Linked DNA regions of Nothobranchius furzeri. The protein of the gene in region 1 purifies or fractionates together with the protein of each later gene. This does not show direct contact. Links are inferred from orthologs where the notes say so. Each region holds a gene or a part of one and is shown on either strand. Other genes may lie near its edges. The genes, in order: rnf139 and insig1.

What was found.
Region 2: the proteins of rnf139 (region 1) and insig1 purify together in Homo sapiens (affinity purification with western blotting, with the first as the bait; 3 studies listed by BioGRID). This does not show direct contact. The link is inferred for Nothobranchius furzeri from reciprocal best matches to the Homo sapiens genes RNF139 and INSIG1.

Annotation. Positions count from the first base shown.
Region 1 is NC_091759.1:12,631,216-12,648,095, reverse strand, and holds rnf139 (E3 ubiquitin-protein ligase RNF139), read left to right. Parts: upstream 1-509; 5' UTR 510-922; coding exon 923-1,085; intron 1,086-3,805; coding exon 3,806-4,461; intron 4,462-4,576; coding exon 4,577-4,724; intron 4,725-4,809; coding exon 4,810-4,916; intron 4,917-5,529; coding exon 5,530-5,781; intron 5,782-9,975; coding exon 9,976-10,749; 3' UTR 10,750-12,606; downstream 12,607-16,880. Other genes in the region: tmem65 (transmembrane protein 65), read left to right, coding at 16,274-16,544. UniProt on the Homo sapiens protein: E3-ubiquitin ligase; acts as a negative regulator of cell proliferation through mechanisms involving G2/M arrest and cell death.
Region 2 is NC_091747.1:47,849,756-47,867,076, forward strand, and holds the start of insig1 (insulin-induced gene 1 protein), read right to left. Parts: upstream 7,291-17,321; 5' UTR 7,176-7,290; intron 5,702-7,175; 5' UTR 5,549-5,701; intron 5,454-5,548; exon of another isoform or gene 5,451-5,453; 5' UTR 5,419-5,450; coding exon 5,358-5,418; intron 5,277-5,357; coding exon 4,929-5,276; intron 3,369-4,928; coding exon 3,244-3,368; intron 3,014-3,243; coding exon 2,847-3,013; intron 2,757-2,846; coding exon 2,657-2,756; intron 1-2,656. UniProt on the Homo sapiens protein: Oxysterol-binding protein that mediates feedback control of cholesterol synthesis by controlling both endoplasmic reticulum to Golgi transport of SCAP and degradation of HMGCR.

The DNA.
Region 1 (16,880 bases):
AGCACCAACTGGCAAAAAGCAGCAGTGTTGTGGAAATCATGTTAGCCAGTAAAAGGAGTGCCCCAGTAATTAGTTATAACCCTAAGAAGCCACAGCAACCTTTTTGTTTTACTCTAATATCGGGTAAAAAAAATAAATAAAAAAGGCTGGAGGCTAATGTTGAGCTAACTGCTAATGGTGCATTAGAAAATTATTATCTGTTCTGACCATCGACATATACATATAGGTCCTGACAATATCTTAAGCTGATTTTCAATTACTAACAACTCTGTATGACAGTGAAATGTATTTATAAGCTAATCATCTTACTGTGCATGACTTGCCATCTAGAATATTCCGTTGCTGATCAATAACTGGCAACCATCGTCCCTTTTTTTTTAGCTTTTTTGTGTTTTGTAAAAAAAAATACACTGAAACACATAAAAACATCTTTAATTTATTCATAGTAAGAGTTATTATTATACATTCATCCTGTTGTTCAGTAAAAAAAAAAAGAGGAAGCACGTGGGTCTCGTTGCGTCAGCCGTCACACCCACCGACGACGAGTTGTACGTCACGTTACGTCACATCTGAATCACCCAACAACTTTGTGTTCTTCGTAAAGCCAGAGCTATAGGAAATGAGTGTGTTGTCGTTGTTTCCATGTTTTTGGTGACATTAACCAGCGCAGGATCGGATGGAGCGTTTTGAATTTTAATGGCGAAATGACTCCGGATGTGAGCTGGAGCGTCACATTTAACAAACTGAAGAAGCAACAGGAGGGTTGAGCTGGAAGAATATGGCGAGCCGCGACAGGTCGCTAGCTGTTAAATAACCGTCAGGACCAAACAAAATAACACGACACTTGGTGGACTTGAACATGTGTTAAAGTGGCACGGATATCCGGGACTGACCAGGACTGTAAAACCTCAGCTGAAGCCGTATGGCGACCACCCAAGCCCGCATAGGCCAGCAGGCCTTAGCGCTGCTGGATGTGGCGCTGCGAGTTCCCTGTATCTTCATTATCGACGCTATGTTTAACTCTTACTACGACCCTGGATCGGGATGGGCAGGGGTGATGGGAAAGGTGTTGGTCAGAGTTATAGGTAAGTTGTTTTAGGCGCAGATTTCAAACCAAGAGCTTTCGGTTTGTCAACAAGCAAGTTGTTAAAGCTAAGCTAATGCTATCAGAGCTTTCCACCTGTCGGGAACTAAAGCCGATTTAATTATCAGCACGAACATACATTCAAGACACATTTTTCAAACAATTGTTACTGAGTTTGTTTTGCACTTTTTCTTGAGCTTTTTACACTTCAAACCCCCCGTTCAGGTTGTTTATCGCTAACGTTCATTAGCCGGTCACCGGTGTTGTGTCATGTTTTGCGTACCTGCTTGAAACTGGCGGAAAGTTCAAAAATGCCTGAAGGAAAATAGTTTTACTCTAGCTTTATTCAGACGTGTTTTGTAATATTAAAACTTAATGTGGGCGTTGTGAGTATGCATTAGTACAACATTTGTCTTTACGCTCTTTTTTTGGCGTTAGGAGGCAGATTATATAACTTTAGTAGTTTGTGGACTTTTGAACGGTTCATGACTTCTGCAGAGATCAAAGAGCTCTAGGTAAGAGATGCAAGCGATTATATATATATATATATATATATATATATATATATATATATATATATATATATATATAAACAAACTTAGCACCAAGTCAGATTAATCTAAATTGGAATTACAAACCTGCTTCAATGTGAAACTATAGATAATTGAAAAAAGTTTCAACAAGGTTTGACCCCTTTTAGTCACTGAAGTCGTTTTATCAGATTGTTGAATGACGCCATTGTTCTCGAATCTTATTGATTAAAACCAAACATGAAAGGACAAAGTTCAAAGATTAATGTAAGGGGAATCTGAAAGGAGTGGTGATTACATACATTAAATGTGGATATTTAGGTCAGAGTCATTTACTTCAAATGTAAAATCTACATAAAGCCCAATCAATTAAACATTTAACCAAATCAGTAAACTATTCAAACTTCGGCAACAGCACCAGACTGCCTGCAGATGTGCCTGACTTTAAATTGGTTTTACTAAAGAATTACCGTAAATCCTCTAATACAGGCCCGGGTCTGTATTTGACTCAAGCTCATCAAGCTCCAGGCCTTTATTGGAAGGAGGACCAGAATTAGAGGCAGGCCTCAATTTCTATTTGAGCAAAATGAACTAATGGTTCGCTGGAGTTTTTGACAATTAAAATTGCGCCCACATTTTCAAAGTTAAACACATTTCTTTTAACAACGGTAGTTTCTGCTTCAGCCCCCCCCCCCCCTGCACAGCTGCCGCAAACTCACTGATGCGCCTGCAGCCTCTCGGAGTTCCTGCTGCTCTAAACATTAAAATAATTATTTCATTTTCTGTTCCTCACTTCTGATTACCTTCAATGGTGTCTGTTTGTTGCAACCACCAGGTACAAAAACTAACTTGTTTTTATTTGACTATTTTTCTGTCCTGTCTGTTTATTATCTTCCTGCATCTCCTCTCAATCCTAAAGAGAAACTGCTACCTGGGTTCATATATATTCACCTTATGAGTTACCTTTGAACTGCAGTTCTAAAAGATCTACCGACCGCAAAAACAGCGGAGTGCTCGCTGGCCACATCAGTGAGGTGCGTCACCGAGGACAAAACAGGTGATGCGCCCCGATCCACAGCAGCGAAAGGCATCAGGCACAAATAAAAGCATAAAAGACAGAAAACATAAAAGGAAATGAGCCGACATGAACGATCGCGTGTTAAATTAGTTTTTGAGGTGGCGACACCTGATTTGATAATGTTACTGTGGCCGTGCTCAGGACGCAGATGTCTGGAGCGCGTCAACAATCAGAGCTTTGCATGCGCAAGCTGGTTAAGGTTAGGATGGGGGTGAGGGGAAGGTTAAATTGCAAGAGGGTAAAGGTCACAACTTGGTTAAATGTCCATTTTATGGCGGGTGTCAGTACCGACGCTCTGGCACAGCGCGTTGCCTCCCGATGCGCAGGAGCTTGTCACCTGCTGACAGCAGGCTGCTGTCTTTTCCGTGGACTGCATCTTGCCGGTCATTATCACGTGACAGCGACTAGTCGATGACAGGCATAAAAAGTCACTATAGAGCGGTGAAGTCGACTAGTGACTAGTTCATACAACCCCTGCTACTGCTCCCCAGAGTGTTCTGCAGCATAATCAGCACGTTCTCTTTGAACTTGATATCAAATTTTCGCCTCCTCTTCGTCTCCGCATGGTTAAATTTACCCTCGCAGTCTATCACTGGCAAATCAAAAGTGAGACGGATGACACAACCGCCTCCCGTACTTGCTTGTTACCACATTCCACCTGGCCACAATAAAAAACCGGCCATTATTCACCTCCGCTGACACCGGCCAAAATATGATAATTAAATACAGGCTAATATTAGAGGATTTACGGTATATTGGTTGACGACTAAATTTAAATAAAAAATGATAAATTTCAGCCTGAGTCATTGGTCTATTCCTAATTTTAGTTGTTTACTTAAACCAGAATTGACCTAAAACTGTATCAGCTAGCCAGATTCGTACAATGAAAGGAAATCCATGTCAGATCTCCAAATCAGAAAGTTTAACGTGCCACAAAATTTTGGAGCATTGCGTTTGTGCTACTTGTTCATTTGAGAGAATCAGACATTTTCTTGTACCAACCAGTAAATAAACATCTTCTTTTCACAAATACTGATTAATGCCAAATATATGGAGCATAATTTACATTTTTAATCATTTCTAATTGTGTGTTTGCTCTGTTCTGTGCTCCAGGTGTTCTCATCTCCACTGTGGTGCTGCTGCTTTCCCAGAAAGCCCTGTTCAAGTTCTACACCCTCCTGTTGGCCGTGCTCCTCGGCGTGGCGGCAGCCCTCATTAACTACCATGCCGCCTCACACATAGACTTCTACAGCGCGTACTACAAAGCGGCGCTGGGGTTCAGATTGTTGCCTAGAAACGGAATGACGTTGTGGCTTGGCATGGCTGCGGTGCAGCTCTCCTTTGGCATCGGCTACGTGTTCCTGCTCAACCTGCAGTCCGTGTTCGCCGCGCTGGTTGTCCTGGACATCATGATCCCTCTGTGGGGGATGATGATCGAGCTTCCCGCTGATGTCCGGCATCTGGTGGCCGTGTTCTCGGGCCTGGTGCTTGTGCTCAACACAGCCGTTTGCTTGGCCATGAGGCTCAAATGGTTCTACTACTCATGTCGGTATGTCTACCTGCTCGTGCGGCACATGTACAGGATCTATGGACTCCAGCTGCTGCTAGAGGACACGTGGAAGAGAATCCGGTTTCCGGACGTGCTGCGAGTATTCTGGCTGACCAGGATCACCGCTCAGGCACTCATACTGGTCTATGTGGTGCGGGCGGTGAGGAAGGAGAGCGGGGATGCCACAGGAGGCGCAACAGATGTGAGCTTTGATGCACAGGTTAGCTACATATGAGGATTTAAAATGCTTTTTATCTCTTTTTTAAGGTAATTTACACTAAAACTATGTGTTTTAGAGATAATGTCTCATTTTTGTGCGGTTGTTTCATTCTTAGGGCTACCTGTTGAGCTGGGACGTGTTCTGGGACTTGACGAGTAACCTGATCATTTCCGGCTGTGATTCCACGCTGACTGTGCTAGGCATGAGCGCCGTCATCTCCTCTGTGGCACACTACCTCGGCCTCAGCATCCTGGCTTTCATAGGTATTAGACACTTTCTTTTTTATTCACAGAGGTTTGCATATAGACTCTAGGGGTCAAATCTGAGCATTTTGCTTTGACATTTCAGGTTCGACAGAGGAAGAGGATAAGCGTTTGGGTTTTGTGGCTCCTGTTCTGTTCTTCATTCTGGCTCTGCAGACCGGCCTCAGCAGCCTGGATCCAGAGGAACGTTTGGTAAGCCTCTGCAGCTTGTTGCAGCCAACCTGGCTCTCCACCAGACAAGTCAGCGCCACGTAAAGTAAAAAAAACGCATCTTACTCGCAAGTTCGGCTCCACCGGGAGGATTTTGGTCGCGAAGCAGCAATGAAAGAATTTGCCGAAGTTGGTAATGCAAGGTCACGAAACCACAGGAGAATCGCAAGGTCACGCATTATTTTGGCAGTTTGTCTGATAAAAAGCGAGGAGGAAGACAGCCGTGTGTATCCAGAAAGGTCTGTGGTTTATTTTTAGCTCAGCTACGGAGGTTTCACAGGTATTGACACTCTTTTATTTACTAGTTACGCAACAGGAAATGTGCAACTGACTTTTATTTAGAACGTTTCTGGATTTTTTTTAGATTGTGTTCTGGAAACGGCGTGTAAAAAAATAAACTCGGAGTGTAATTTTAGAGGCGTGACACTTCGCGGCCAACGGAAATGCATCGACCCGCTATAACGGCGGCTAATTTCTGCGTATGTTGCGTCCCGTGGAAAGCAGAGGTCCTTCTGATTTGATGTATTTCACGTTAGCTGGGTAAACCTTGTGTCACTTTTATGACATTTGTGACTGAGAGGTCTCTGACCTGCAGGTGCGGCTGAGCCGAAACATGTGCCTTCTGCTGACGGCCATCTTGCACTTTATTCACGGCATGACGGACCCCGTTCTAATGTCTCTCAGCGCCTCCCACGTCTCCTCGTTTCGACGCCACTTCCCCGTCCTGCTGGTGTCTGTGGGGCTCTTTGTTCTCCCCGTGGTCCTCAGCCACGCCCTCTGGCATCACTACGAACTCAACACCTGGCTCTTCGCTGTCACTGCTTTCTGCGTGGAGCTCTGCCTCAAGGTGAGCGTGGAAGTAGATAAATCTTTGTGTGTGCATTTTGTAAATGTATATTTATACCATATTTGTTAAGTGTATATTAAAAAGTGCAAAACCAATGGGAGATGGTAATGAGTAGCACAAGAAACATGCATATTTGCAGATTTGGAAAGTTTTGCAGCTTTTTATGTTTGTGACAATCTTACACTTTCATTAACCAGGGTATCTGCAGGTCCTTAAAAAGTCTTAAAGAGTCTTAAAAAGTCTTAAATTAGCTTTTCCAAATTTAAGGCCTTAAAAATCCTTAAAAATGACTAATAATCCTTAAATACAGTTTTCAAAGGTCTTAAATTACCAGAGACCCAATAAACAAGATTCTTTTGTTTTTCTGAATGTCTAGTTAGTGTTCAGCATTTTTTTGTGTACGATGTTGCCGTGAGTGGAACCGTACACCTTCAGTTGGTTGTGAAAGGGGGCTATTTTTAGATGAGCACATTAGCTGGTTAAGCTAGTGGGAGCATGCGCCATGGGGAAGTGCAAGTTTGATGGTAGCTGGATGGTTAATCCCACGTTCACGACGTGGTTAGCACCAGTTCCAGGCAATAGCTGGAAATTATAGCTTAAATTAAATTTTAAAAATAGCTTAAATTTGGTCAAAGTGGCCTTAAAAAGGTCTTAAAAAGTCTTAAATTTGGCTCCCTTAAACCTGCAGATACCCTGATAACATCAGCTCAATTGCAGCTTTAAGAATTTCTCTCACTCAGCACAACAACTATGTTACACCGAGGTGAGCCTCAAAACCACCTCCTAAAAAGGAAAAGCCCTACTGGTGTCGGCACACGTTGTTATGTTTAGCAAATGTCTTTGTGTAATAAAACTACATTTTGTGGGAAATGTTTAAGAAGCCTACAATAAATGAATCAAATATAAAGAAATGTCAGATATTGAATACTTTATTAACATTTTTGAGTGCTATTGCACTCTGATTCATCAGGAAATCCAAACAACTTTAAGATTGGATTTCCATGGAATTAAAGACAACACAAGTGAAGCCTAAATTTTAACTGTGAAAGGTCCAAAAGATGTGATTAATAAAATATGAATGTTAAAGGCTTTTGCACCATTCCTCATAAATGAAGACCAAATCTAACTAGTGACGGGGTATCCGCGGGTCCTTAAAAAGTCTTAAATTTGCTTTTCCAAATTTAAGGCCTTAAAAATGACTAATAATCCTTAAATAGAGTTTCCGAAGGTCTTAAATTACCAGAGACCCAATAAACAAGATTCTTTTATGTCTATAAAAATTTCGTGAATGTCTAGTTAGTGTTCAGCATTTTTTGTGTGATATTGGCGTGAGCGGAACCGTACACCTTCAGTTGGTTGTGAAAGGGGGCTATTTTTAGATGAGCACATTAGCTGGTTAAGCTAGCGGGAGCTTGCGCCATGGGGAAGTGCAAGTTTAATGGTAGCTGGATGGCTAATCCCATGTTCGTGACGTGGTTGGCACCGGTTCCAGGCAATAGCTGGAAATTATAGCTTAGATTTAATTTAAAAAACTGCTTAAATTTGGTCAAAGTGGCCTTAAAAAAACATCTTAAAAGTCTTAAATTTGGCTCCCTTAAACCTGCAGATACCCTGAATGATAACCGGTCATTTATTCATGCACTGTAAAAATAATAACCTCACTTAAAAAAATTATGCCCCATTTTCACATCCAAACTATTTGAACCAACCTAAAGTATTTACATTTAACCAAATGAACATGACTTTAGGGATAGGCAATACATCAAAAATGTATCGTTTTCGAAATTTCTGACTCTTATCGAGATAATTTTTCCCATGTCAATAAATTTTATAATATAAAAGAAAAGATGTGTGTAGGTTGGCAACATTTATGCCCCTTTAAGAAGCCGTACCACCGTGAGTCATGTAAAAACGTTACTCAGTGTAATACATGCGACAGCCCCATCTAGTGGACAGCTTTTGTTTCTGCGCATACCCGTAGTTACCGTCCATTATCGTTAATGAGGTGAAACCCTCAGTATATCGTCATATTGATTTTAGGCTGTATCACCCAGCCCTACGTGACTTAATATGGTTGTGTTGACACTATTTACATATAATCAAACTATGTTTTCATAGCAGCAACGTTGACCAGTTCCAGCTAACTCGTGCCTCATACAGCTGCAAACTGCATGTGAGAGCGAAACACAACAAGCTGATTCCCGAGGTTTTAGTCCGACCTATCACTTTATACTGAACAGCAGAATTGGCACAGCCACCTCATTCCTCTGACTGACCTCCTCACTTACGGTGCTTCATGTCACTGATAGGACAGCCATCTTGAACAAAACAGTCTTTTTACATTTACGGTCCAATTGATGTGTTGGTCCTACGAGTCTTACGTCCACATTCTAACATAATGCACCGCTGAAAACGTTCAAAATATCCTTCGCATGCCTCTCTTTCTCTTCCTAATCTCTTTCAGCATTAGCTTCAAACGTCTGATCGACATCCCTCCTGATCCAAGAGCACCAGCCCCTGTCCTCAGCTGTGTGACTTGTACCAATTGCAACACATATTGTTGATTGACTCATCAAATAGCAAATGGAATTCTGAAAACCAAGAAATCTCACGTGGATCCTTTGTGATCTGCTTCCACAAACTGATGAATGATTGTGACTGATGGGTCGCTCCATGCCGTGTGCGTAGGGATGGGTACCTTTGACATTTGAATCGATCCGGTACTAATTCCCGGTACCTAGGAATCGACACCGGTACTTAACGGTACCAATTTTAGATACTTTTGAGTGTTTAATATTTTAATTCTCTTTTATAATTAAATATATATTTTTCTCAATTTATAACCATATTTGATAAATATCACGATAAATAACATACAACTGTTTGTATTTTAACATCGTCCTTGTAGTTTTATAAGCTGATAATTAAACTGAAGCAAACATCTTTACTGTGAACTAAATTTACTGTGTATCTTCATTCCTTTTGCCGTCCTTTTTCATTTGATTTTTCCTACTGGGAAGTTAGAATTTCCGAGGAGAAAGCGAACGCACCATTAGCTGATAACAATGGTGGCAATGGAAGCTAACATATCAAGCTAACGTTATCTTAAACGTGGGGCGACGGTGGCACAGGAGTTAAGTGCTCGCCCCGCAATCGGAAGGTTGCAGGTTCGAGCCCCGCTCAGTCTGTCGCTGTCGTTGTGTCCTTGGGCAAGACACTTAACCCACGTCTTCTGCTGGTGGTGGTCGGAGGGACCGGTGGCGCCAGTGCTCGGCAGCCTCGCCTCTGTCAGTGCGCCCCAGGGCAGCTGTGGCTACATTGTAGCTCATCCCCACCAGTGTGTGAATGTGTGTGTGAATGGGTGAATGACTGATTGTGTTGTAAAGTGCCTTGGGGGGTTCCAGGACTCTAGAAGGCGCTATATCGAATACAGGCCATTTAAACAGTTTATTTAGCTGCTGGAGCAGATTAAAACGATGATGCCTCCCACTTAGATCATTGTCGCTGGTTTCATCTTCACCCAATCACCCGTCGCATTTAGTAAAGTGAAGCCAAACTTTAGAGCGCGTTCATGTTCTTCTAGTCGAAATTTCAGAGTTCCGAGGAGAAAGCGAATGCACCATTAGCCAAACGGAAGCTAACAAATCAAGCTAACGTTATCTTAAACATTTTATTTACCTATCGGAGCAGATTAAGATGAGGATGTCTCACTTAGATCGTTGTCGCTGGTTTCATCATCACCCAGTTACCCATCACATTTAGTGAAGTGGACCCAAGCTTTAGCGTGCGTTCTTTCTACGATGCTGCTCTGTTTACAACTGGCTCGCAGTGACCGACGACATAACGCTCTTGTGCATGCGCAGCTGTCTAGGCAAGTTCTCGTTATGATGGACGGGTACCGAAACGAGGCACCGTTTGAAACGACGTGAATCGATGCTCGGTCGGTACCTTAAAAAGTACCGAATTCGGTACCCATCCCTACGTGTGCGTCAGACCCATAAAAAGTCCAAAAATCACCCATCATAAAAGATTTTTCTACATTGCCCAACTTTGGTGCTCATATCCTTTATTTCTGCAGACGTGCCATCGAATCTTAGTGACATCACGATGAGACGAGTGTTCAGCTTCGTGTGGAGGTTCCTGAGTTTGGTTCATTAATGCTTATTAGTTGTGCTCGTCTCTTTGTCCCCCCAGGTGGTGGTGTCCCTGACTGTCTACGGCCTCTTCATGGCTGATGGATTCTCCAACGTCCTGTGGGAAAAACTGGACGACTATGTCTACTACGTTCGCTCCACAGGCAACATCATTGAGTTCCTGTTTGGCGTCATCATGTTCGGCAACGGCGCCTACACGATGATGTTCGAGTCGGGCAGTAAGATCCGCGCCTGCATGATGTGCCTGCACGCGTACTTCAACATCTATCTGCAGGCCAAGAACGGTTGGAAGACCTTCATCAACCGCAGGACCGCGGTCAAGAAGATCAACTCTTTGCCAGAGTTGCGAGGGGACCAGCTGAGGGACATCGAGGACGTGTGCGCCATCTGTTACCAGGAGTTCTCCACCTCAGCTCGCCTCACGCCGTGCCACCATTACTTCCACGCCCTGTGCCTGAGGAAGTGGCTCTACATACAGGACACATGTCCCATGTGTCACCAGAGAGTCTACGTTGAGGACGAGGGTCAAGACAGGGACGCCTTTTCAAACAACAACGGGGGCTACGCAGCGCCGCCAGCTGCTGCGGGCCAACCTGCGGCAGGAGAAAACCAGCACGAACAGCCTGGCGCCGAGCTCATGGCGAATGGGGCGGCAGCCGGGGCGCACGCTGCAGCAGAAGCAGCCGGCCTCGACGAGCTGCTGGGGGACAACGACAGCATAGAGTATGACGAAGACGAGTGGGGGACACAGAACGGCAACACGCCAATAGAAGAAGACTATATCAATGATGACACAGACTCCACTGAGGACTGATTAGAAAATAATACACATATATGTTTATTATATTTAAGTTAAAGAAAAAAATGAAACTTTGAAACAACTCCAGCATCTTAATTTGTTCTTGGAAAAACAGTCAGGGATGTCATTCTCTCGTTTTCTTGAGTTTTACTCTAAAAGGGCTTCTGAGACGAGTAAAAGCTGCTCTCGTTCGGTGTGTGTGTGTGTGTGTGTGTGTGTGTGTGTGTGTGTGTGTGTGTGTGTGTGTGTGTGTGTGTGTGTGTGTGTGTGTGTGTGTGTGTGTGTGTGTGTGTGTGTGTGTGTGTGTGTGTGTGTGTGTGTGTGTGTGTGTGTGTGTCATGATTCTTTTTTAAAGTTTCATCATAACTAGACAAAAGTCCAGATGAAAGTCCTCATACATGGCCACGGCTGTCTCCGAACAAATGTACATTTCCAGATTGACTCAAACTTGATACACAAACCAGATGATCCAAACTGAGTTGGAAGTTGAGGAAGTTTTCCGTTCTCCTCTCTCAGGCCCAACATTAAAACGGTGTGTGTGCATGAGGATGCGTGTTTTTGTGTTTAGTGTCTTAATCATCGCAGTCGTGCTGGACTCAAATTAGTTCCTATTCAAATGAAAGTTATTACACTGGTTTTGAGTTCCTACTTTTATGTTTTTAAAAGATTATTCGTTTAATTAAAGAAGCCGAGGTAACAGTTAGCCAAGAAATTATCGGTCTTCAAGATTTGTTCATGAAACTGAGGTTTACAGTGACATTTTTAGCACTAAAACCATTTTGTGGACTCCAACCTTCACAACTGCATCACCGATCAGCCCTGATTTCTGTCACCTTCCAACTTTTTGATTGATTATGGCTCAGAAGTCAGTATTTGTTCCACTACTGCGTGGGTCTGATTGAAGATTGACTTGCTACTGTAATTGCAGATGTACCTCTCACTACTGGTCTGTTATGGGACCTCACTTATGCTTGTGTACGTTATTGTACATGTAAAGGCACACTTTCTCCTTCAGATTAGACGTGCAATTATATATTTATAAAAGTCTCTCATCCGTTCTCTTAAAAGAAATGATTTAATTAGATATGATGCTTAGAAAAAGCTGCTTTTGGAGATGCTCCAGACGCCACATTGGAGGATTTATTTCCCCTGATGAATAAAATATAAGTGAAAATTTTTTCTCAGTGCGGTTAGTATAAAATGAAGTGAAAAGTGCCAGCTGATGACAACAAAAGTATTATTTGATTTACATGTCAGGTAATTTAAAGAGATGATATTTTTGTTTGCAGATAGTCTCTCATGTTTTTACTTACTGTTACCAAAAAGTTTCTCATGCACCCCAAAAAAATAATGATAAATTCTGGCCTCAAAGAAACTTTTCTAATGCAAACACATTTCTATGATGTGACGTGTTGAAATTTTGAGCTACATGGAGGATTTTGCACACTTTCCCAGAATTACCTGTCCTACTGATCTAAAGTTTCGAGCTGCTGGTACAATAATTTTTTTCTCGGTTTTGACGGAAGAGTGCAGCCCGTCATTAGCATCTAGAATATCTCATTTTGAATTTCTAGATTTTTATTTGAATGTTTGCTGGCTCCACTCTGAATGTTGTTAAACTAACACAGTGGTAACGTTTTCAGGGTTTGACTACCTGCATATTCTCGTTGCTGTTATGATTACTGGTTGTTGGTGATTCGGAGAAAGCATTGGGGGAAAAGCTGTGCTTTTTTTTTTTTTAAATGGCTCAGAGCTATGAAGGATTTTGACTTTGTTTCTCAGAAAGTTGTTTGTTTTAGGGAAAAGCTGTTCCTTTTGCCTTTTTTGTTTGTTTAAAAGAGATTTATGTAAATAAAAGCATATTTGATATTGCATGCTGGCCTTTCTGTAACACCACCAACACTTTAATTACAATCTCAAGCACAAATAATCTAATAATTTATTATAAAATGTATTAAAGAACATAATTTTTATTTGTTAACGAATTTTACTCTTGACCAGCAGATGGAGGTGTTCTGTCATTTTTCTGAAGGACACATTCTTAGTTTGGCCACTTTCCATACTTTGGTCAAACTTTTGAATACAGTAATTGTAATTTACAGTCTACTTGGATAATTATATAGAAAATATATTTCTTAATTAAAAATATTCACAGAAATCAATATTCTTTTATTTTTTTCATGTTTACATATAAATTCTTTAAGGAATCCGATTGTTGTGAATGCTTTATTCCTTAGCAGTATAGATTTCTCACTTTTAATTTTTTATTAATAGTTTTTAATATCAATATTATGGAAGCCCATAACTGCCACTTTTATAAAAAAAAAATGTTATCTCATACGATTCTATTTCATCATTATGAGATAGCCACGTCAGCAATGAGATACAAGAATTTTTGTATCAGTGGCAGGAATGGGCTTCCATTTGTATTAAATTAAAGGGGCATTATGGAAGTTTGACAGCCAAAACATGTATAGAAATAATAAGTTTCTTCTTCATACATTCTCCTGCAATGCCCTGGTCCTGTAGAATGAGCCCTGGCATTTTTACTGTGATTGCCTGTTTTTCTGTAAAATCACAGAAAAAGAGAGATGCTCGGGTCGAGCAGGCTGCTTCACGCACGTTCACGCTCAGGCATAGCCCTCCGAACCGTTCTTTGAACGTTGTTTCAGCTGTCATCAACAATATAAATGTTACAGATACAGAAGATGTCACTGGTGGTTTAGCTCGTCTAATAAGACTGCGGGCTTTCGTGCAGAAGACCCAGGTTTGATTCTGGATGTGAACATAGTTTATTTAGAGATTATTTTTTACATTAATGATATGTTTTTTTACAGTAAGATGCCCACATTTTTATTTGAGACTCGCCGTACGGCATTGAATTCACAGGTAAAAAAGATGTGGGTTCAACTTTCATTTTGGAACAATTTTTCAACCAAGGGAAGGGAATGATCTGAGCATGCAGGAGGACTGACCCATCATAAACCTTTGTCGGCTGTGCTGAAGAGAAAGGTACAGAACCACATTATTTAATTATTTAGCTGTGTGTTCTCCTGTCCTCTGTCCTCTGGGCCACACACACACACACACACACACACACACACACACACACACAAGGGACTGTCTCAGCTGTTATTTTCGTTAAGGAGTGTGCATGTACAGCATGCACGCCTCGTGCACAAGCCTCCTCTTGAAGCTGCTGTTACGCATTTGGCCTGAGGGGGCAATCACGAGCATAAAAATTCAAAATTCCGTAAAGTCCATCGACATATATACAAAGTAAAGTCCCTTTAAAACGTTTGTTTAAAGGTTGATTGTGGAGCACAAACACCATAGCGACATCTAGTATGTGGAGGTTGTAGTTGCACCAATATGGTTTCCAGAAGGCCAAGATTGCTGCACATATGTGAAGTGACCAGCCAGCACCATGTCCAGTGACAAATCATACAGGGTAAGGGCTAATTTCTACTAATAAGTCTATTTTTACTACAGTATTTAATGTTTATTGACCGAAAGAACGAGGTCACGGATACAAGTGGCCGAAATGAGTTTTACTCCACAGGGTGGCTAGGCTCTCTCTTAGAGATAGGGTGAGAAGCTCGGTCATCCGGGAGGGGCTCGGAGTAGACCCGCTGCTGCTCCACGTCGAGAGGAGCCAGTTGTGGTGGCTCGAGCATCTGGTCAGGATGCCTTATGGACGCCTCCCCGGTGAGGTTTTCTGGGCACGTCCAATTGGGAGGACACCCAAGGGAAGACCCAGGACACGCTGGAGGGACTATGTCTCTCGGCTGGCCATGGAACGACTTGGGATTCCCTCGGAAGAGCTGGCCCAAGTAGCTGGGGAGAGAGAAGTCTGGGCGTCTCGGCTTAGGCTGCTGCCCCCACGAACCGACTCTGAATAAGAAGATGGATGGAGTATTTAATGTTAGAACATCTATTGGGCTCCGAATCAGCTGCTTGACTTACTGAATCTGCCATTTTCCAAAGTGCTAGCCTTGATGTGCCAAGCGGACTGTGTACTGTATTTGGCAACCCACACTGGTGCCCTCAATTGGCTGGTAGATGCTAACATAAACTCAATTTCATGCCTGTCAAAATAGGGCTTGTGTCATCATCACCCACGCGGCCGCCCTGTTGGCAGCCTATGGACCCTTGTTGCATTTTACTACTGTGAACAGTGCGCTTAATATCGTTCTTGCTGCTTAACTGAATCTATTATTCATATGATTGGCAATATTACGCAACCATGGTAAATAGTTGCTGTGTTGTGTAGTGCAACACATGATCGCGAGGGAAAACGGGCTAATTTTCCTGCTTGGAGGCTTGCTTGGATCACAGCTGTAAGGTGACCAAACATCACCTTCAGAGTATTTTCATTCTTGTAAGTTACAGATGGTGTACGTCGTTTTTTAAATACATCATTTCTTTCCTTCAACTGCGACACGCACACACAACACACGTAGGCTACACACACATACCGGTAAGCTAATTCGGGCGCACTGACACACAACACAACTTCTCCCGCTTCACTTCTATGGAATGACGATTTTGATTGTTTTACTAGAAAAACCAGCAAATGAAAAGTTTACCTCTCATCCAGACATTTACATCCGCTTGCACCAACAAAATAGCTGAAAATGTCCGTTATGCAGAACTGCGGTGGCAACAAGTTGTCGTCGGTGCTCCAGTCTTGGGTCTTTCATCTGGATCCAAACTTTTTATAGTGCTGATTCTGTTCATAAACTGGTCCCTGACGTATTTATTTAATGTATCCCTGTATATTCTGCATCCTTTTTGGGTTTTTAACATGTTGTTTAACACTTCCTTTCTCCCAATTTGGTTTCTTCTCGGCAACATATGGTTTCGTCTCTGCAACATTGTTTGTTTTCATGGTTTGTTTACACCAGTAAGACCATCAACATGTCTGTGCACATCCCAGAATGCAACACATAATCACGTGTGATTCTGATCCCAATAAAAATTTGATTTTTTATTTAAATGGAAATATAACTTTTAAATGAAATACTGTACCATCCTTCTACACACCTCTAAACGTCCCGTGGGGGTATATATATATATATATATAATGGAGCATTTTATGACATCATATTCAACCTTTAATACGAAAAGCGTGACCGGAAACAGCTAGGTTTATTTTGAAAGATGGGACCGACAGTTTCCGGTTTCTCTCGGCGGACTTGGTTGTTCAGCTGTGTTTGGTTGTAGCTTCAACTTCATGTGCCCAACTCCGGAGCGTCGAGTGTCAGAAGATCATGAGACCGTTTCGGACAGCACGAGAAGATAAGATGTTCGACTGCGTGGAGTTCGAGCCACGTTTTACATAGAGAGGCTTAGAAAGTCGTCAACTCATGCTTCATTGACGTCGAATTATAGTACTAGGACCGACCAGCGACCAACTTTCAGCCCGAGTGCCAGCCTCGTTGGAGCAGAGAGGCGGCGGCGCACCTCCGTTCGAAGGAGACTCAAGTAAACCAGGTTTTACATGTTATAAACGGACTTTATTATTTATTACGGCACGATGCTTAGGGCTTGCCTACAAAGAGCTCTCCGAGCCGGTGCGCAGAAGTTACCGTCGGGACCAAGGGAATCTCCGGTAACAACCCAGAGGCAGCCGGGGACAGGGCGACACGCGCCGGGTTGCTGGATGGGAACACATGCGAGGAACGAGCCCCTGGAGCCGCTAAACTCACCCACAAGGGCCAAAGAGTTTATTTATCGCCTTCACCCGAAGGAGAGGAAATGTTTACTCACGGAGCTGCAGAGTTTCGAGTCCAGAGCCATCGCTCAAGGTAAAAGAAACGAACAAGCACAGGTCAAAGGTGACGGCTCCTAACGAGCCTTGAAGTCGGTGTTCCAACATGCACTGTAAAATGCTCGCTGTATTATTAAACTACCTCAGATATTATATGGTAAGTGTTAAGGATTTAGCTAAAGTATTCATAAAGCCTAATGGCTCCAACTGAAGACAAAGAAGCCTAATTTTATTGTGGGACTCTCATGTACACGTGATTAACCTCATGTGTTTACATTTGGTGGTTGCTGTAGGAACCAAAGCAACATTGGAAAATGGTTTGTCACAATTTAAAATACTCACTGGTGTTTTGCTTCTGAACATAAGTGCAAAC
Region 2 (17,321 bases), on another chromosome or scaffold:
ACTGTGAAAAACAACAGCTCCTAATCTGCTTTCACGCTTTCCCTCAGTCAAACCGAGAACTCGTACTTCACAGGCGGAATGAGGTGGGGCTTCCAGACAGACGCTCAATAAAGACATCAAAGCCCACTTCATGGGATAATTATGAAGGAAGAGAAAATGCTCTTTGCTCACATGTAAACCATTCCACAATCTTATCTGCTGTGGCGGCTCAGCTGGATAATTATTAATAAAGCAAGTGTGATGAACAGGAGGCGTTTGAAGTCATTATTTGTTGTCGAGGAACGCAGAAACTCATAGAGATAAACGCTGAGGGGTCTTTTCAGCAAAGATGTCTGGGGGAAAACTTTCCAAAGTATCACAGAGATTCAGTGTTTACTCTGGAATTTTGACTTGGCAGATGGGGAAAAGGTGCTGGACTGAGATCAAGAGAACGGAGAGCTGTTCTGTTAAAACCAAAGATCTGGCAGATCTGCAAATGGTGACATATGCGGCCTCGGATTGGTCGGTATTAAGCTGTCTTTTCTGAAGGTGGATGGCATTGTTGCTAAGGCAGGAAGAGGAGGGTCCCATTTTAAATCTGACCTTATAGGAAGCAGTAAGGGTGTACTGGCAATAATCTGGTTTGTAGCCTCCTGGTGGTTGTTGCATTGTTATGTATTGCCTTGTAAATGTTAATAAAGGCTTTGTAAAATAAAAATTGGCAAGAATCTTGCAATACGATATAGATCACAATGACAGGTGAGACGATCCAGTTTATCTCGAAACTAAAAGCCAAACAACGTTTGTGATTTTTAGGACCGAGTTTAATTGGGGAACTCAGGTCAGGCACTTCCAAGACACTCCAGTATTTTGCCATAAACCAGGAGCGTGTCCAGGGGGTGGCCTGGGGTAGCACATGCCAACCTTGGAATCTGATTGGCCACCCCACTGAATTTCCTTTAAACAGACTTGTCCACCTTGTCCTTGATTCGGAAAAGGGTAGAATGCCTTCTCCGGGTCAGGGGTGAGGTCCTGCCCCAAGTGGAGGAGTATCTCGGGGTCTTGTTCACGAGTGAGGGAAAACTGGAGCGTGAGATCGATAGGCGGATTGGTGCTGCATCTGCAGTGATGCGGGCGTTGTACCGGTCTGTCGTGGTGAAGAGAGCTGAGCCAGAAGGCGAAGCTCTCGATTTACCGGTCGATCTATGTTCCTGCCCTCACCTATGGTTATGAGCTTTGGGTAGTGACCGAAAGAACGAGATCGCGGATACAAGCGACCAAAATGAGTATTCTCAGAAGAGTGGCTGGGCTCTCCCTTAGAGATAGGGTGAGAAGCTCGGTCATCCGGGGGGCTCGGAGTAGACCCGCTGCTTCTCCACATTGAGAGGAGCCAGTTGAGGTGGCTCGGGCATCTGGTCAGGATGCCTCCTGGACGCCTCCCTGGTGAGGTTTTCCAGGCACATCTAACTGGGAGGAGACCTGAAGGTAGACCCAGGACACGGCAGAGGGACTATGCCTCTCACCTGGCCAGGGAACGCCTTGGGATTCCCCCAGAGGAGCTGGCCCAAGTGGTTGGGGAGAGGGAAGTCTGGGCCTCTCGCCTTAGGCTACTGCCCCTGCGACCCGACTCCGGATAAGCGGATGAAAATGGATGGATGGAGACTTGTCCACAAAAAGCTTGGGGTAAAAAAGAAAAAGCATAACCATTGGTGCCACTTACCTGGGCCACCCCATTTTAAAAGATCTGGCCACGCCACTGCCATAAACTTGAATATATAAATACCTCAGTGGGGGCTGGAGAGCGTCGCTATATTAGGTGGATTTCTCACTCTCCAAACCCAACTGGAGTCAATACAGGTTGAGCAAATATGCCTGTCTTTTGTGCAGCCTACTGTTGCAGCAACAGGCGCATTATTGAAAAGAGATCATCTGGGATTTCTACTGACTTTTCTGGCTACCCGTTGGGATTTTACATTTGAATTTATTTTCTATCCATCCATCCATTTTTGGCCGATTATCCAGGGTCAGGTCGCAGGGGCAGTAGCCTAAGTCGAGAGGCCCAGACTTCCCTTTCCCCATGCGCTTGGGCCAGCTCCTGCGGGGGAATCTCAAGGAGTTTCCTGGCCAGCCAAGAGACATATTCCCTCCATCGTGTCCTGGGTCTTCCTTTAGGTCTTCGCCCAGTTGGACGTGCCCGGAAAACCTCACTAGGGAGGCGTCCAGGAGGCATCCCAACTAGCTGCCTGAGACAATTTATTTTATTTTATTATATTTATATTTTAACTATGATGCCATACCATATGTGTGTCTTTGTGAAAAAGGATAATAAAATGTGTGATTTAGTTGGGTAAACGTCTTCCTCGGTAAAAAAATGCCATTGGGGGCGAAAGAATAGAGATTCATCCAAGATGGCAGCCCGCTGCTACACCAGCACCAATAGGCAGCGCTAATCCACAGAGTGTCTATGTATATGATGAAGGCAGTAAAAAATCCTGCCCCCTAGCAGTTGAAGTTTGAATAGCAACACATATACAATAAATACTTGCATTTAAATACTCAATAAAATTGATACTGCCTTTGAATATTGATTCAGAATAATAAAATATTGCGATATTTCAGTGCAGCAACATTTTTATACATCACTGGGAAGCAGTTAAAAAATGGCAGAAAATGTTACCATGGCAAGTTGGCGTCCGATGTTTCCCACAGTAACGCCGCCTGAGAAGAAAATACACGGGAGCCAGGAACGCACGTACAAAAAGTCTGGAGATGTGTACCTGAAAATAGAACAAAAAAAGAAAAGCTTTTTACTTTACTTCTCCAAATGAAGACATTTCTGGTTCTGCATAATTAAGCAAAGACCTTACTGAAAAACTCCATTGTAGACCAGCAGCTGTGAGATGATGGTAGCTAAGAAGGCCGTGGTGATGCCCAGACCAAACCCACTTCTGGAGCGGTCAAATGTCCACCAGAGGCCCAAAGACAAGGCCGCCAGTGTGAGGGACAGCTGCACGTTGTTGGCAAAGTCTAGTTTCTGTGTTACTGTGGGTTAAGGGCAAAGTTAAACAAGATGATGATGATGTGCTTTTGTTCAAATATTGTTTCGACCGCCTGGTTTCAAGTTCAACCATTAGTGTCAAAAGTTATTGTGTTACTCTCATCCAAACAGGAGGTGGAATATTTTTCCACTTTTCTCCAATTTTCTGGGACAAAAAACTAGCATTAAAATAAGGATTACTTAGGGAAAACATCACAAAAGGATACAACACTAGCATGGTTGATGCCAACAAACACTGCAATGCATCTCATGACGCTTGCCCACTCCCTCTTGAACTTGTGCGGTTCCCCCAAATGGCTGTCGAGGCAGGGATAGAGCAGGCCAACAACAGCTGGAAATAGAAAAAAATGGAACAAAAAGTCAGGAATTATGCAAGATAAGCACAAATTCTCTGAACTAAACAGGACACATCCTGTCAGAGCTGGTTATATGCTGACCAAGTGTTGTTTTACTTTGTGACACATCCATTCACATAGATATCATTAAGTGTTTAAAGAAAAAAGCAAAGAAATGTTCTATTATTTATTGAATTTTTTTTGTTTGATTGTGTATTTGATGAAGTGGAATACAGATACATTTTTTGATTGTGACTTTTTATTACTTTACCACATTTAAATGAAAAAAAAGAAACTAATACAGACTTTCACAGCAAAATAAAATACTTGTAGTCAACCTTTTTTTAAAATAGCTGTAATAATTTAAAAAAATACCAAAGACCAAAAAATATGTTTAAGTCAAAGACGTTGTCCAGCCTCTAGAAATGATGTCCTTTTTATATTTAAATTTTAAAAAAGTACTTTGGGCATTTAACAAAAACTAAGGTAACTTTAAATGAGGACAAATTGTATTCTAAATCACAGCTCTTCATTAAACCTAGTGTTACAATAATTAGCTATAACTTCTACAGTGAAAATTAGACACAGTCATTTTGTTTCACTTTTTTTAACGGATTAAAAGTCAAGACTGGTGAAACATTTTAAATCTGCCAGGAAATAATGTGGTAATTTCTTTATAAATGCCTTTAAAACCTAAAAATGTAACTGGTCTGAAATATCTAGCGAGGGAAGTTCTGATTTTTTCCAATTTTTGGCATAACTGAACAGACACAATTTAACCAATGATCATGCTTGACTGGTGATTTAAAAGTACCAGGACTAACCTAATCTGTTTGTTGTGCACAAAAATGAAGTGGAAAACAGCTATTTAATTAAACTAAAGTTTAACAAGCTGGAGTAAATTAAACATGCTGAAAGACAAAAAGCTAAAAGTTTTCTGCTCAGCAGCACATGGAAGGAGGAGCAAAACGCGTTTTTTCTACCTCCTCTCATTTCCGGGTTCCTGGCCTTAAAGGGGGCGGCCCTTATCTCACCCGTTATGACACCAGCTAATGAGCGAACAGCTCACGTAGACTCTGACCAATCAGAAGCCAAGAAGCTCTACCGTCTGCAACTAGTCGTGTCTTTTGATACTAGACTGCCACTCAACCATAAAAAGTCTTCCCCGACGGAAGAAAAACAGCGTTACAACAACAACAGCGTTACAACAACAACATAGTAAAGCCGAATGACAACGTATCGCAGTAGGACACGATAGAAAACGACAAATTAGAAGATTTTCAAAATGTGTTGTTATAAAGCCGCGTTTGATTTATTAAATGACATAAATGGGTGCTTACTTTAGCGTGCAAGTGCAAATAAGAATAAAATATGATTTTCCAGACTCTTAATGCCTACAAATGAATTATAAATTAAATGTATCCTCCTCGTTAGCATTTTTAAATTAAATAAATAATGCTCCACGGTAACCCCTCCCCTCTTTGCTTGTCTTTGTCCCCAAATTAGCTGTAAACTAATACAGTTATGAAGTTCACCTCCGTTTATGGTCCACTTACCTGCTCCTGTACCGCAGCATGGCGGGATCCACCAGGCAGACGAAAACAAAGTTGTCATCACCTCCTCTGGAAAAAGGGTGACATTTCTTTGTATCTGCAGCAAGTTGAGCACCAGGGCGAGGAAGACCCCAACCGTGAAGAGGACGAGACCCCTTCGGATCAGGTTGGTGGTCCTGCCGTGGTGGAGGGAGCCGTAGGCAGTGCTGAGCACCTTGGTGGTGATGGACATCATTTCTTCAGCTTTAGATGCGAACCAGCTGGCGCCAAATGAATCTTTAGTTTTAGCTTTTGGTGAACAAGGGCAGCTCCAGTAGTGGTCCTCCAGTCTGGGCATTTGGCACTTCTGAGCTGTTTGAAAGCAGATTCATTCAATTATCTCACATAAAAAAGACACGTTGAGGCAAGGATGACGCGATTCTTGGTCCTTACCTTGTTGATCTCCAGATGAATTAAGTGTCTGGTCCAAAACGAAACCTGCACTCCAGCTCATTCGAGTTAAGCCACGATCCCCGTTTTGCTTTCCTGCTGTTTCCGACAAGGACAGCCGTCACGTCGTTTGTTCACATCATATTTAGTAAACACACAGCGTTGCTTCATTCTACAGCTAAAAGAGCTCGTACCCCAAAAAGAACCAGGACTTCCACTGCAGAAAACAATCTCAGCTGTGTCTGGTGAGAGGCGGCAGCCAATCAGAGCGCGGCAGCTGATATGACGTGACACCAACGCCCCGCCCCGTCGTCCGGTTCAGACAGACTGATCAGGAGGCTGCAGGGCTGAAACGAAAGTAGAAATACTTTAAATAGCGGGAAACATGTAACTCTGGTTTTACATAACATTTAAAATGGGGTGATTAAATATATGAGGACACATTTAAAGGGACACAGTCAAACATTAACATTGATCATGAACGTTAATTCATAATCTACAAAATCAGTTTTGCAAAGTATATGGCAAAAAGTAGATTACATCTGATCAGAACAGACTAAAACCTGATAACATTTAAACGTCTTACAAAAGTACAATGAATAGAATCAAATTTTCAGGTTTTATTCTAGTCAAATGCCAGTGCTGGAGGTTTTCCATATTACATATAGTTTTCTCAAATTATCACATGAGTTTTGCATTCACTCCAACACCCATATTGGATTGGAACCCATTGAATTTTCAGCCCAGGCTAATGTTTTACACTGTGGGGTGGCAGCTGCAAAGGCGTGATCACCTACTACTCTTCACCCTAGGGACATCTTAGGTTGTTTGATCTTAATGTCCTGTCAGTCAGACCAATAAAAGTTTTGAAAACCAACAACAGGAAAAAGAAAAACTCTACTGGTCATAGAGCTAAGAAATAAAGCTGGCTATAGTGATGGTGGTCCATCCATGCATGACGTTATGGTGTAATGTAGACCAATGGTTCCCACATTTTTTACCTTCAGATAAAAAAAATGACAGATATTAAGACTTACAATATATCTTATTGAACTATACATACTTTACTAAAAGCAAGGGCATAATGAAAATTTACAAAGACAATGTACTAGGAATATATATATATATATATATATATATATATATATATATATATATATATATATATATATATATATATATATATTAGGGACACACAAAAAATCAATAAACTTGAACATTGCTACATTTTGTATGCTGGATTGATAGTTAAAAACAATATATTGATTTTAATTGAGAATTTATGTACAAACATTTACTGTATTTCTTTTGTGTGGTAAAAAAATCTCTGACTGCTAGTCATCTGTTTTTTTACTGCCTTTATGACGGAACAGTGACATCTCGCAGTAACACCAGATGTGTCTTGGAAGCATCTCGCCTGAATTTTTCAATGAACTTCAGTCCTAAAAATTGCAAATATTGTCACCCCTGTATTGTGAAATATATTGTTTTGCCGTATTTTTGTCAATACACACTCCTAACCCCATGTTAAACTCAGATTATAAATTTTAGTTTTACCTTTATACCATTTACAATAAAATATTACAGGAATAAAAAATTTTAAAGTCATGTTAGAATTCAGGAAAACATTTTAAGACCCCAGCCTTAAAGCTTTGTGACCCAAACTCTAGAAAGTCTAACAGAGGCTTTAGAGAGTTTTTCCGTTTTTTCTTTTATGGGTAAAAAATTCGTAACAACATCTCTAAAGTGCTTGTACCGGTTATCAAAAGCAGTTTTAATAACAACGATGACTTTTCAAAATGAAAATAGTTTGTCTTTTACCAGTCAGAACAGGATTCCTCTAAGATGGAGACTGTGAGTGTCTTCTTTTCTCAATAAATCTGTAGCATCTTCCAACTCAACTAATCTCTCATCACAGGAGCTCTTATATAGACATGCGTCGAAAACGGGGTTAGTAGCACATGCGTTTGTTTTTCTGATGTTGGTAACAGGTTATTGACCTCTGGGTCAGTCTACTGGAGGTGTGTCTCTTGGGGCAAGTTGTGGCGCTCCTGCATATCAGTCAGACAACATATAACTGGATAAAAGGTCAGTATTCATTTTTCAAGGACCAATAACAACATGGGTTAGATTAGGTAACATAATCTGGAGAGCACAATAACAGATACTGCATGCATGTGTTGAATACATTTGTATCCACAAAGAAATAAACTGGAAATAAAAAGCTAATTTGCTGATGAAAATGTTATTTAACCCTCCCACTGTCTTTATGGGTGACCCCGCAAGAAAAGTTGACCATTGAGCAGGATTGATGGTTTATCCCATTAGGTCCACATAGCAGGGGTGAGGTGGTGCTCACACCTCACCCCTGCCACATGGACCCAAGGGATAAACCATCAACCCTGCTCAATGGTCAACTTTCCTCGCGGGGTCACACCCATTAGGACAGCGGGAGGGTTTAACAGATATGTCATATTTCCTGCAAAACCATGAGCACCAATGACATGGATGACTGACTTCATTCAAACTGATTCACAGGTTAAATGCATGACCTGCAGCAAATTTAGTAAACAAATTCAGATAGCTGGGGAAAAAAATCTGTTTTGGGGATTATCAAACTGAGCTGCTGAAATCCCATATTGTTGCATTTATTACTTCATTATACAAAGATGCAGAGCTGAGATTGAGTTTAGCATTATGGTTGTTAGAACTGGTTTTTGGCTATCACCCAATGTTGAAGTGTACTTGGACTAAACACAGAGCCCCACGTAGCTTCAGATCCTTGTGTCATCAGTGCATGATTGGAGAGAAAAAGTGCTCCACTAACAGGTTGCACAATGACTGCCTGTAAATAGGGGATTGGGAAACTCTGCAAAGAATTTAGCGAAATTAAAAAACTTAAAAAGGCACCCACCATGCATATTAGTGTGGATCATTTATGGTTTTATGAACTAGCTATACTGGTAGTTTAGGGTTAGCATCTTGTTTAGATGATAAAACTTTTAAAATATTTTGATAACTCTAGTGTTTTAGTTGTTAATAGTCGTAGAAGTCATTCAAACAGACAACAGTAAAGCTGCTAAATGGACTTTAGAACATGTGACTTACTTATAACTACATGATATGAGTGGCTTCAAATGCAGAAGAATTGTAGCAGGTGAAAGTAATTTACACTTTGTATTTATTGGGGTTGTTTTATCTTAAACTTAAGAATTGTTATGGATACATACATTTAAATCATATTATGTCTCCATATAGGTAGCCTAAGTCATGCCCATCTACTTCCGGACCAGTGATCCCCTGAAGAATGAAAAAATGAATGCAAGTCAATGGGGCTAAAAATATTTTCTAATCCTGTTTGTTATGTGCGATGGATTTCACATATGATGTCCCTGAATTTTAAAGGTACATTCTGATCCCAAGAAAGCACTTATTTTCAAACGGGGCAAAAGTAATTTTAGGCTTTGTGTGAAAATCTATCCAGGACTACAAATGCGCGATACCAAATTGATGTCATCAAACCAGACACAAAGAAAAGCAGTGGGAAATGGCTGTAGGTTCAGCAAACTTTTCCTCACTGTCATTTGCTTCTTGCTAGACCAGCTAGGACAGTTTCACATGACTACACAAAGTCTCATGACTCTACCTCATTCAGTTTGCTGCACAGCATCTCAAATGAGTCATCACCTGTTGCTACCGTAGATATCTACATCATAGTCTTTTAGGCTCTAAAATTATTTGTATAAAAAAAAATAAAAACTGCTTTTCTGACCCTTTTTTTGTAAAGAACCATTTTCTCGCGACAGCATGCGCGATATCTGCCGGGCAGACATTATAATATTGCAAATGAGGGGCATGTTGATTGGTGGAAGGAAGCAGGGGTGTTGACACTGTAGGTTTTGCTTCAGTATCTCTCTCCAAAATAGCATCCCTGTGATGGACAACGTCCCGGCATGCATACACAGTAGTCTAACTTAGCCTTACTGTTTGAATTTCAGGCAAGTATCTCAGTGTTGAAATGGCCTCTCTTTCTAGACAAATCCTTGATGCCATCTTCGCCTGATATTGCCCCAAATTTATAAAGCATTCTGGCTTAAAATAGTTAGCATAGACGCTGAGACTAGTGGGGAGAGTTTCGGGAACAGCACTGTTAAAAATAAAATTAATCCACTGGTCCCTGGCAGCTTGGTTCAATTTTGGTAAAACAAACACATGTGTGGAGTTTGGCAGTCAACAGCCACCATGGTAGTCAGCAGCTCACATGTGAAACTCCCTTAGACATTTTTCCTTTTCTCAATTTCAGTAATGGAATTACTGCAACTAAATTTGAGGGAAGCGTAGCTGTGCGTGGTATAGTGACATTGCTCTGTGCTGTCCACATATGGTACTGTACATCCTGCCTTAGTGACAACATCGAGGCCAGAACTCAAGATCTCGTTTTGGGCAGGGGCGCCTCCAGAAAATGTTGATGGAGTGGCCGGATGGGGCCAAAGAAATCTTTGGGGTGGCACACCAAATTGGTCCTTATGGTAACGCTGGGAGAATTTAGCTTGTGGCGATGTACTGCATTGCTCCTTTATTCATTTTAATTAAAATAACTACGTATCCAAAACAGTTAACTTAAATTTTACAAACACAAACATTTCAGAAAAATACATTTCAGTTATTTAAAATGTTATCCATAATTTAAATGAAAAATTTATATTTTTGTAGGTTAATTCACCTGTTGCTGTGTTAAAAAATAAACTATAGAGATAAAAAAAAGTTAAAATGGTGAGCATGAGAAACATATGTAATTATTTAATTCTGATTATTTCTTTACTCATTAATTGTAATATTTTAATTTTGTTTTACAATATGTCTTAAATAAACAAGATCAATTTATTGTTTGACTGAACATTAACGTTATTTGTTAACACTGGCTTTTCCTGGGGGGGGGGCATGGCCTCCCCTGACTACCCCTTGGGGGCGCCCATGGCTTTGAGGTGCACGTGAGTTGGTTGATGAAGCCAACAGTAAAAAACGATCCAAAGTTAAATATCGGCTTCCCAACCAGTGAACAATCATTAGGATGCCATTACATAATAGGAACATTGGCAACCTACACACACCTTTTCATTATTTTTTTTAAATTCGTAATATATTTGCACTGGTAAAATTAAGTCAGTAATAGACACACTTCTATGGTGTCTGTAAACGTTCGCCCACCTCTACTTTGAACACTTAAAGAAGGTTTACCAAACATCTACACAGTAAAGGAAATGAAAATGTCATAATATTGAAGGCCTATCACTTGACACAAAAGTGAAGATAGATGACACTAAAAAGAATCTTTTAAAAAACTTTGACCAAGGTTGGGATTTGTGGCTTCTCTATTGTTAGCATTTGCTTGTGGAAAAAGAGGAGGGTTTTAGGCTTTGCAACATCACTGCCCGAGACAAAAATGGGTTAGGGTTAGGGTTATTTTCACTTGCTAGTTTTTACAAGCTCAGTTACTCCCCTATGTAGAAGACCACAGGTGAAGGACATTGTCTAGCTATTCCACATCCAAGCAATGGTTTTTCTGCAAAGACACTGACAATTTGGGGAACTACTGCCACCTATAGGATTAGAATGCATATGAATGTGCTTCACAATAGATTAAAAATGCTTAAAATAAGGTGGTGTGGACCCAAGGAGGATATTCAGTTTTACAAAAACGTGGCTACGTGTACGCTACCTAAAAGTTTCATTGTAGTCATTCGTTTACAGATAAATTAATACACACAAAAACATTATCAACCACCAGGTAGTGTTATCAAACCCTTGTCAGGGCAGCCTTTCTCATGCCTTTTTAATTGTCTCTCTGCCCAATGAAGGAATTAGTGAAACCATGACACATGAAGATGATAAAAAATGTAAAAAAGAAGCGACTCGCTACAAAACAGACTTCCTGTAAGGTTACAACAGCAGGCTGGGGACCAGTGTTGCTGTTGACAAGCCTGCAAATGAAGTGGTGGCAAATCCATACGAAAAGGAGCTTCCTGCGATCAGTTCTAACCATGTCATGACACAATTTGAAAGATAAAGCAGCCTTTTCAGCCTCACTGGAGCAGCTACAGAAGGACATTTTGAAAGTATTACGTCTGCAGACTGCACATTCAAACTGACCGATTTTAAATTGGTTTCACTTGGAGTGAATGAGAAAAGTCATCTCTAAAATGGCAGCGATAACGGGGTGGTTAAATATAAATGTCACAGCTGCACTCCACTAGAGCTTTTTTCACTTTTTAAGCAAAGAAATAAAGCATGAAAGAACGTTGAGGGCTGAAAAGTTAGCGTTTGTCTCCCCAGTTTCATTTCTTAGAGCTCGAATAAATAAACCATGTCTTACGGGATGACGACGATGATGAAAGAAGGAATGTATTTTTAAGCCAAAACAGGTTTCTTGTGGCATTTTTTTTCTTTCAAAAAGATGCTTGGACACAACATCGTTGATCTGTAGGCTGGAGACGACAAAAGCTGCAGTCCATAGATAATGACATCAGTCATATTCACTCCATTCTAATTTCAGAGAGCCATGTGGTTTACAAAGATAAATCAGCAAAGCCTCTCGTGTTTTTAAAAAGGCAAGAAAAAGGAGGTCAGGAAAGGAGATGGAGAAGGGTGCACCAGAGTTGTGAAAGTGCAGAAGCAATTCAACAATGTCAATTTCATCTCAGCGTAGAGTCTCAGTTTCCCAAAATGAATGAGTTCTTAACGATCCAGAGGCCTCAGGATAAAAGCCTACAGCAGTGACTGTGTGTGGGTGTCGAGAGCGCCAGTCTTTATCGTCAACAGGAAGATGAAATCTTGGAATAATTTACTATAAATCTAGATTATCTCACAGAAATTAATGGAAAACAGGCCAGAATCAGAAGGTTAGCTTACAAGGATAACCATGAAAATGCCTCAACATAACGCAAACAGCTCTTAGCAACCATCAATGTTGGGGAGGTCTTCGCCACATCAGCAGATAAAACAGGAAGCGACGACACTTCAAATGAAAAGCAGATCAAGCGTGTCATAGATGACGCTGTTAGACTCAGAGGGATTTTTGCTGTGGGAACGAAGAGGGAAAAGCCCGCTGGAAGAGTACGCAAATTGATCCATCAAACTCAAGCCTGACAACCCCCTCCACCTCAAGCCTGTGTGAAATTATGAAAGGAAACATCCTAATCCACCCTCGACGGATAGTTGATTAAATTGAAAAAGGTTTAGGCTTTTTTCTGCTTATTCCCTCTTCATCATGTGTCATGAAGCATGGCATTTATTCCTGTCCAAAGAGCTGAGATACACATTTGAAATGAATTTAAGCCATCAATGATATTTTCATGTCATTTCCAGCATCAATTGAAATTTTATTGCAAAATTTGCTTTATTTCTCCACAACAACACTGCCTCCCTGCACTGAGTAGAATTCTGAGGAACAAAGGTCGCCTTAAAAGTGCTGTTTCTGCAGCCTGAGGGTGTGGCACCAGGTTTCCATCATGGTATCTCTTTGTTCTTTGCCACTCGGCTCTGAAATTGTTTCAGAGCTGCTCAAACACAAATACTTACTATCCCGTAAAGTGTAAGCTGTAGACCAAAACAGGGTTTCATTCTCAGTGATCTGCATTTAAAGTGAAAAATTTAAGGGAATCGTACCAAATCGAATTTATTTTTTTAAAGTTTCATTGACTTTCATGTAATTTTTAAGTTTTTTTGTTGTTTTTGTTATATTCTGAAATTTGATTTTTGTTTGTCTTGCCCAAATGTTGATTTATTTAAAAAATATATATTTTACTTAGCTAAGTCATAATAATGAGATACTATATTGTAATTATGACTGAGCTATAATGAGATACTATCTCATAATAATGAAATACTATTTCAATATTATGAGATACTATTTCATAATAACGAGATACTATCTTTGGAAATGGGCTTCCAAAGTATGGGATGTTTCCTGAGTTTTTCGTGTGTTTTGGGAGGTGATTTATGAGCTTGGTGTTGTGTTTTCTGAAGAGTAGTTTATGTTGCCCTAATATTCTCTGAAACTCTTGTTTATTGTTGTTTTCCCAAACATTGTTTTGTGTGTTTTGTTAAGTGCTTGGTGTACAATCAGATGTCAAATTTGTGTCTCCCCAAAGGGTGAATAAGTGTTGTAGCTTTTTCTCAAATGTGTTTAGAAATATGGGTTTCACCGTTGCCATTCTCTTTCTTTGCCATCTTTGTTCTAATTTCTTTTAAATACATATACATCATCATGTCTTTAGATCTATTTTATTCTATAATTTTTAAACATTCAGATATTTTGTACAGCAGTTCATTATTTTTCTAACTAAAATAGGTTTTACAGAGCTAACAAATGCAACAATGACATTTTTGTTGCAGGGCTTTTGTGTCAAACTGCTGCAGGTAGAGTTTGTGATTTTCCTGCTGTGTTTGTGTCCTGTTTACATAAAGCTCCATTCATGCCAGCTATGCCAGAAGTGCTCATGAACAGCACAGCCCCAGCAGCCAATGAGCTTCCTAAATGACCCCCAGCTGTCAACTCAGATGTCATTTTCAACCAATCACAGCAGCTCCCTCGGTGGGTGCGTTTGTGTGCCTTTGGGAGGGTGGAGAGAGGTAGTACGTGCTGTAGAGTGAGTTAGTTAGACGTTGGACAGTGATCCTAAATTATTCGTCACATGTTTGTCCTGAAGCAAAGCAGTACAGAGACAGAAATGAGTCACAATGCTGACGACAGACTGATCTCAGAGCTGCTTTATAGGCGGTGAATAACAGGACAACTCAACATGAGCGCACCCATGGGTGGCTGTGGCGAGCAGATTGCATGACTAATAATTTATTTAAGTCTTTGGTTTGACTTGTCCTGCTGAGAAAGGCTGCCTGGCCTTGGTGATGAGAGACAAGCGCTGTTACAAGAAGAAAAGAGAAAAAAGTTACTTTTCTTTATCTCATTTCTATAGTTAAGATGGAGATCATCACACCATGTCATTCATCCATCCATCCATCCATCCATCTGTAACGTGAGGAAATATGGGTTTTCTATCACAAAGGTGGTGTTGGACTCAGCTGTGTCAAAGCTGGGTCGCTGAGAACTTTCACCCACAGATTAAGACCTGAACGCCAGCGAGTCTGGGAGGAAACCATAACATCAACCACCTGCAGTCTACCAGAAGATGTGTTTACATGAGTTGTACCCAGACCAAGTCAAAACATAAAGTTTAAACTTCTTTTTCTTGATTTTAATGTTAAAATAACCATTATCATTTTGCTCATTATAAATGTGTTTAATCAAATGAATGGTTCTTATGCTTTGGGGTAATTATAATGGATTAATGAATCCACACTTAAGTAGATAATGTTGAATGTGTGGTACTGACCTTCACACTCAAGCACACAAACATTCACACACACCCACACACATCTTGCCCACAGTAAACTCCAGACACATTTGATGACGCACATGTTTTGCTTTGAGAAGAGAAAGGTTTTTGGTAAGTTTCAGTCTTTTGTAGTCAGTTCGTGTTGGACAACGAGAGAGAACAGACCTGAAAACCAAAGGGGGGGCAGAGCCTGTTGGCTCGTTCTTCCCCCCTTTCACGCTGTTTCTGCCACGCCAGGCAGAATAGCTGAATCGCAACTTCTAACGCAGACTCATTACCGAGTCTTTTGATTTCTGAGTGAATTAACTTAAGAAAGCGCGTCGACAAAACGCTTTACCATCAACGTGTACCGAGGACAACTCTGGACCGGGTCGCAGCGCATCTTTGTCTTTTCTGCCAGCCAAGGTGCCCTGGATGAAACATCCTAAGGTGACGCCCCGGATCCGAAAGAGGGTCCAAAAGAATTCGGTGAGACAGAACACGGTGTTTAGCGTTTTGATGCATCTTTTCCAACTAAGAGCCTAAGTTTATTCAAACCATCACTTTTCACTCAGACACCTGGTTCTTCCTGAAGCAAAATCAGATGCACTCACGCACCCATCCCAGCTCATATCACTCTCACCATCACAACATTCTCAATCTTCATAAATTCATCAGAAGGTCTATTTGAGCCAGAACAGCATATCAACTGTTAAAGAGATTGTCCCACAAAGTTACTAATGTTGATTGTATTTCCTGTTTGTCAATTTCAAAATCATTAGTTTAATTTGAAGAATTAAAACTTTTAAACGTCAAACTGGTTTCCTCATTGAACTGAAACACAGACACTCAGATATTATCGGCAGTTTATGGATGAAAACAACCTTTGAGTCTTCTGAACAATATAAAATTTGGTTATTGATTTATTAAAATTAATATTCCGAATTAATACGTAGCATGGTTCCTCTTTCATAAAAGAGCATATATCCATAACGCTACATCAATGGCGAGCCAGCCAGGAGGACTTCTATATCTGCGATTTATCTGATTTCTTACATCTAAAAGCTGCAAACAACGCTTTTCTCTGTGTTTCACTTTGATGTCTTATTTTGAAATTAACCGGAAATTGTTCCGTTGAAGTCACTCTTCCGCGAGGCGTCGTCCTGGTGGAAACTTGGCCGGGAAGATCTCCGATCTCAAATTGACCGCAAATTACAGACCTAACTTTGATTTATCCCATCTTCGCCTTCGGAGCGAACGTGTGAGTTGTGCTTTTGACTAAATTCTGTCCATTTTGACGCGCCGCCGCGTCTCCAATCTAACCTCAGGTCGGAACGCTCCGTTTCCGCTCTGATCATCGCTGGGTGGGCTACCGTGCAGCTTATCCTCAGTTCCTAAAATTATCACTATATTCTCCGAACCTCAGAACCGTGACTGAATTCTCGGACACCTTTCGTCTCAGTGTGTTGACACTGTGGGCGAGCTATTGTGAAAGAAGTTTCTACTGCATTCAGATTGCGTGCGCTTTTTGAACGGAATGCTCGGTGACACCTGCCGGAGCTTGACTGCTCGGTAAACGTCGTAAAGCGAGGCACAGCCGTTACGCGTTACTGCATTCAGATTGCGTACGTTTTTTTTAAAGTCCGTATTAAAAGTGGAGCGAGATGCCTACTTGTTAATCGGGAAAATTTAAGTCTGGTCGCTACAGACAAAGAACGCTAGAACTAGCCGGAGAGCTAAGCTAGCGCCACAGTTAGACAAATAGGGCACGCGTCCCGTTAAATTGTCATCATTTCTGGCACAGTCAGTCTGTGTCCTCACAAAACCCGCATTGGCGGTGATTCTTGTAAATCGCTACGGTGTGTAGAATCTACATTTTGCTACGTTTGTCCGTCTGACACCAACACGGCAGCGTAGGGTTTGTTATTTTTTTTTATTATTTTTTATTTTGGACCGGTGAACGGGTCGGCTTTCACAGCCTCCGTTGCTCGGTTCCATGCCTTTTTCTTCCATCTTGTGAAGTTGTGTGTATTCATTTCTCTATCAACAATTCCTTGTTTTACCCTGTGTCATAAAGTTAAGTAAGCTACGGACAGTCCTTGTTTGTGTGAGACATATTAAGGAATCTGCCCGGAGTTTTACGTCGGCTCAGAAGGTAAAAACGCGAGTTGCTCTGAACTTAATGGGAGATGGACGAGACACGACAAAATCTTTCTTGCACTGTTACACCTGATGTAAGGTTCTCTGACGTTCTGCTTCCAGAACATGCCAAGACGCAGGAAATTCACCGGCCGAGCATCGCTGGTCCCTCCGCCCGCCCGAACGGGCCCGTTTTAGGCGGGTGCCGCCGGTCGGGAACAGTGGGGACCAGTGGCTGCGGTTCGGTGCCAGCTGCACTGGGTCGGAGGTGGTTCTGGTCTGCACTTCATGTCGTGAATTCAAGCAACATGCTGTTTACAGTCATAACGCTTTTTCTTTACTTTTATTTCTTCCAGGGGGTAAAAAACCCACCATCAACATCAAGGTTTGAAATAAACAACACTTTCTCTGCTGCTTTTAAGCTGAATAAATCTCTTGAACCTATGGTTAACCT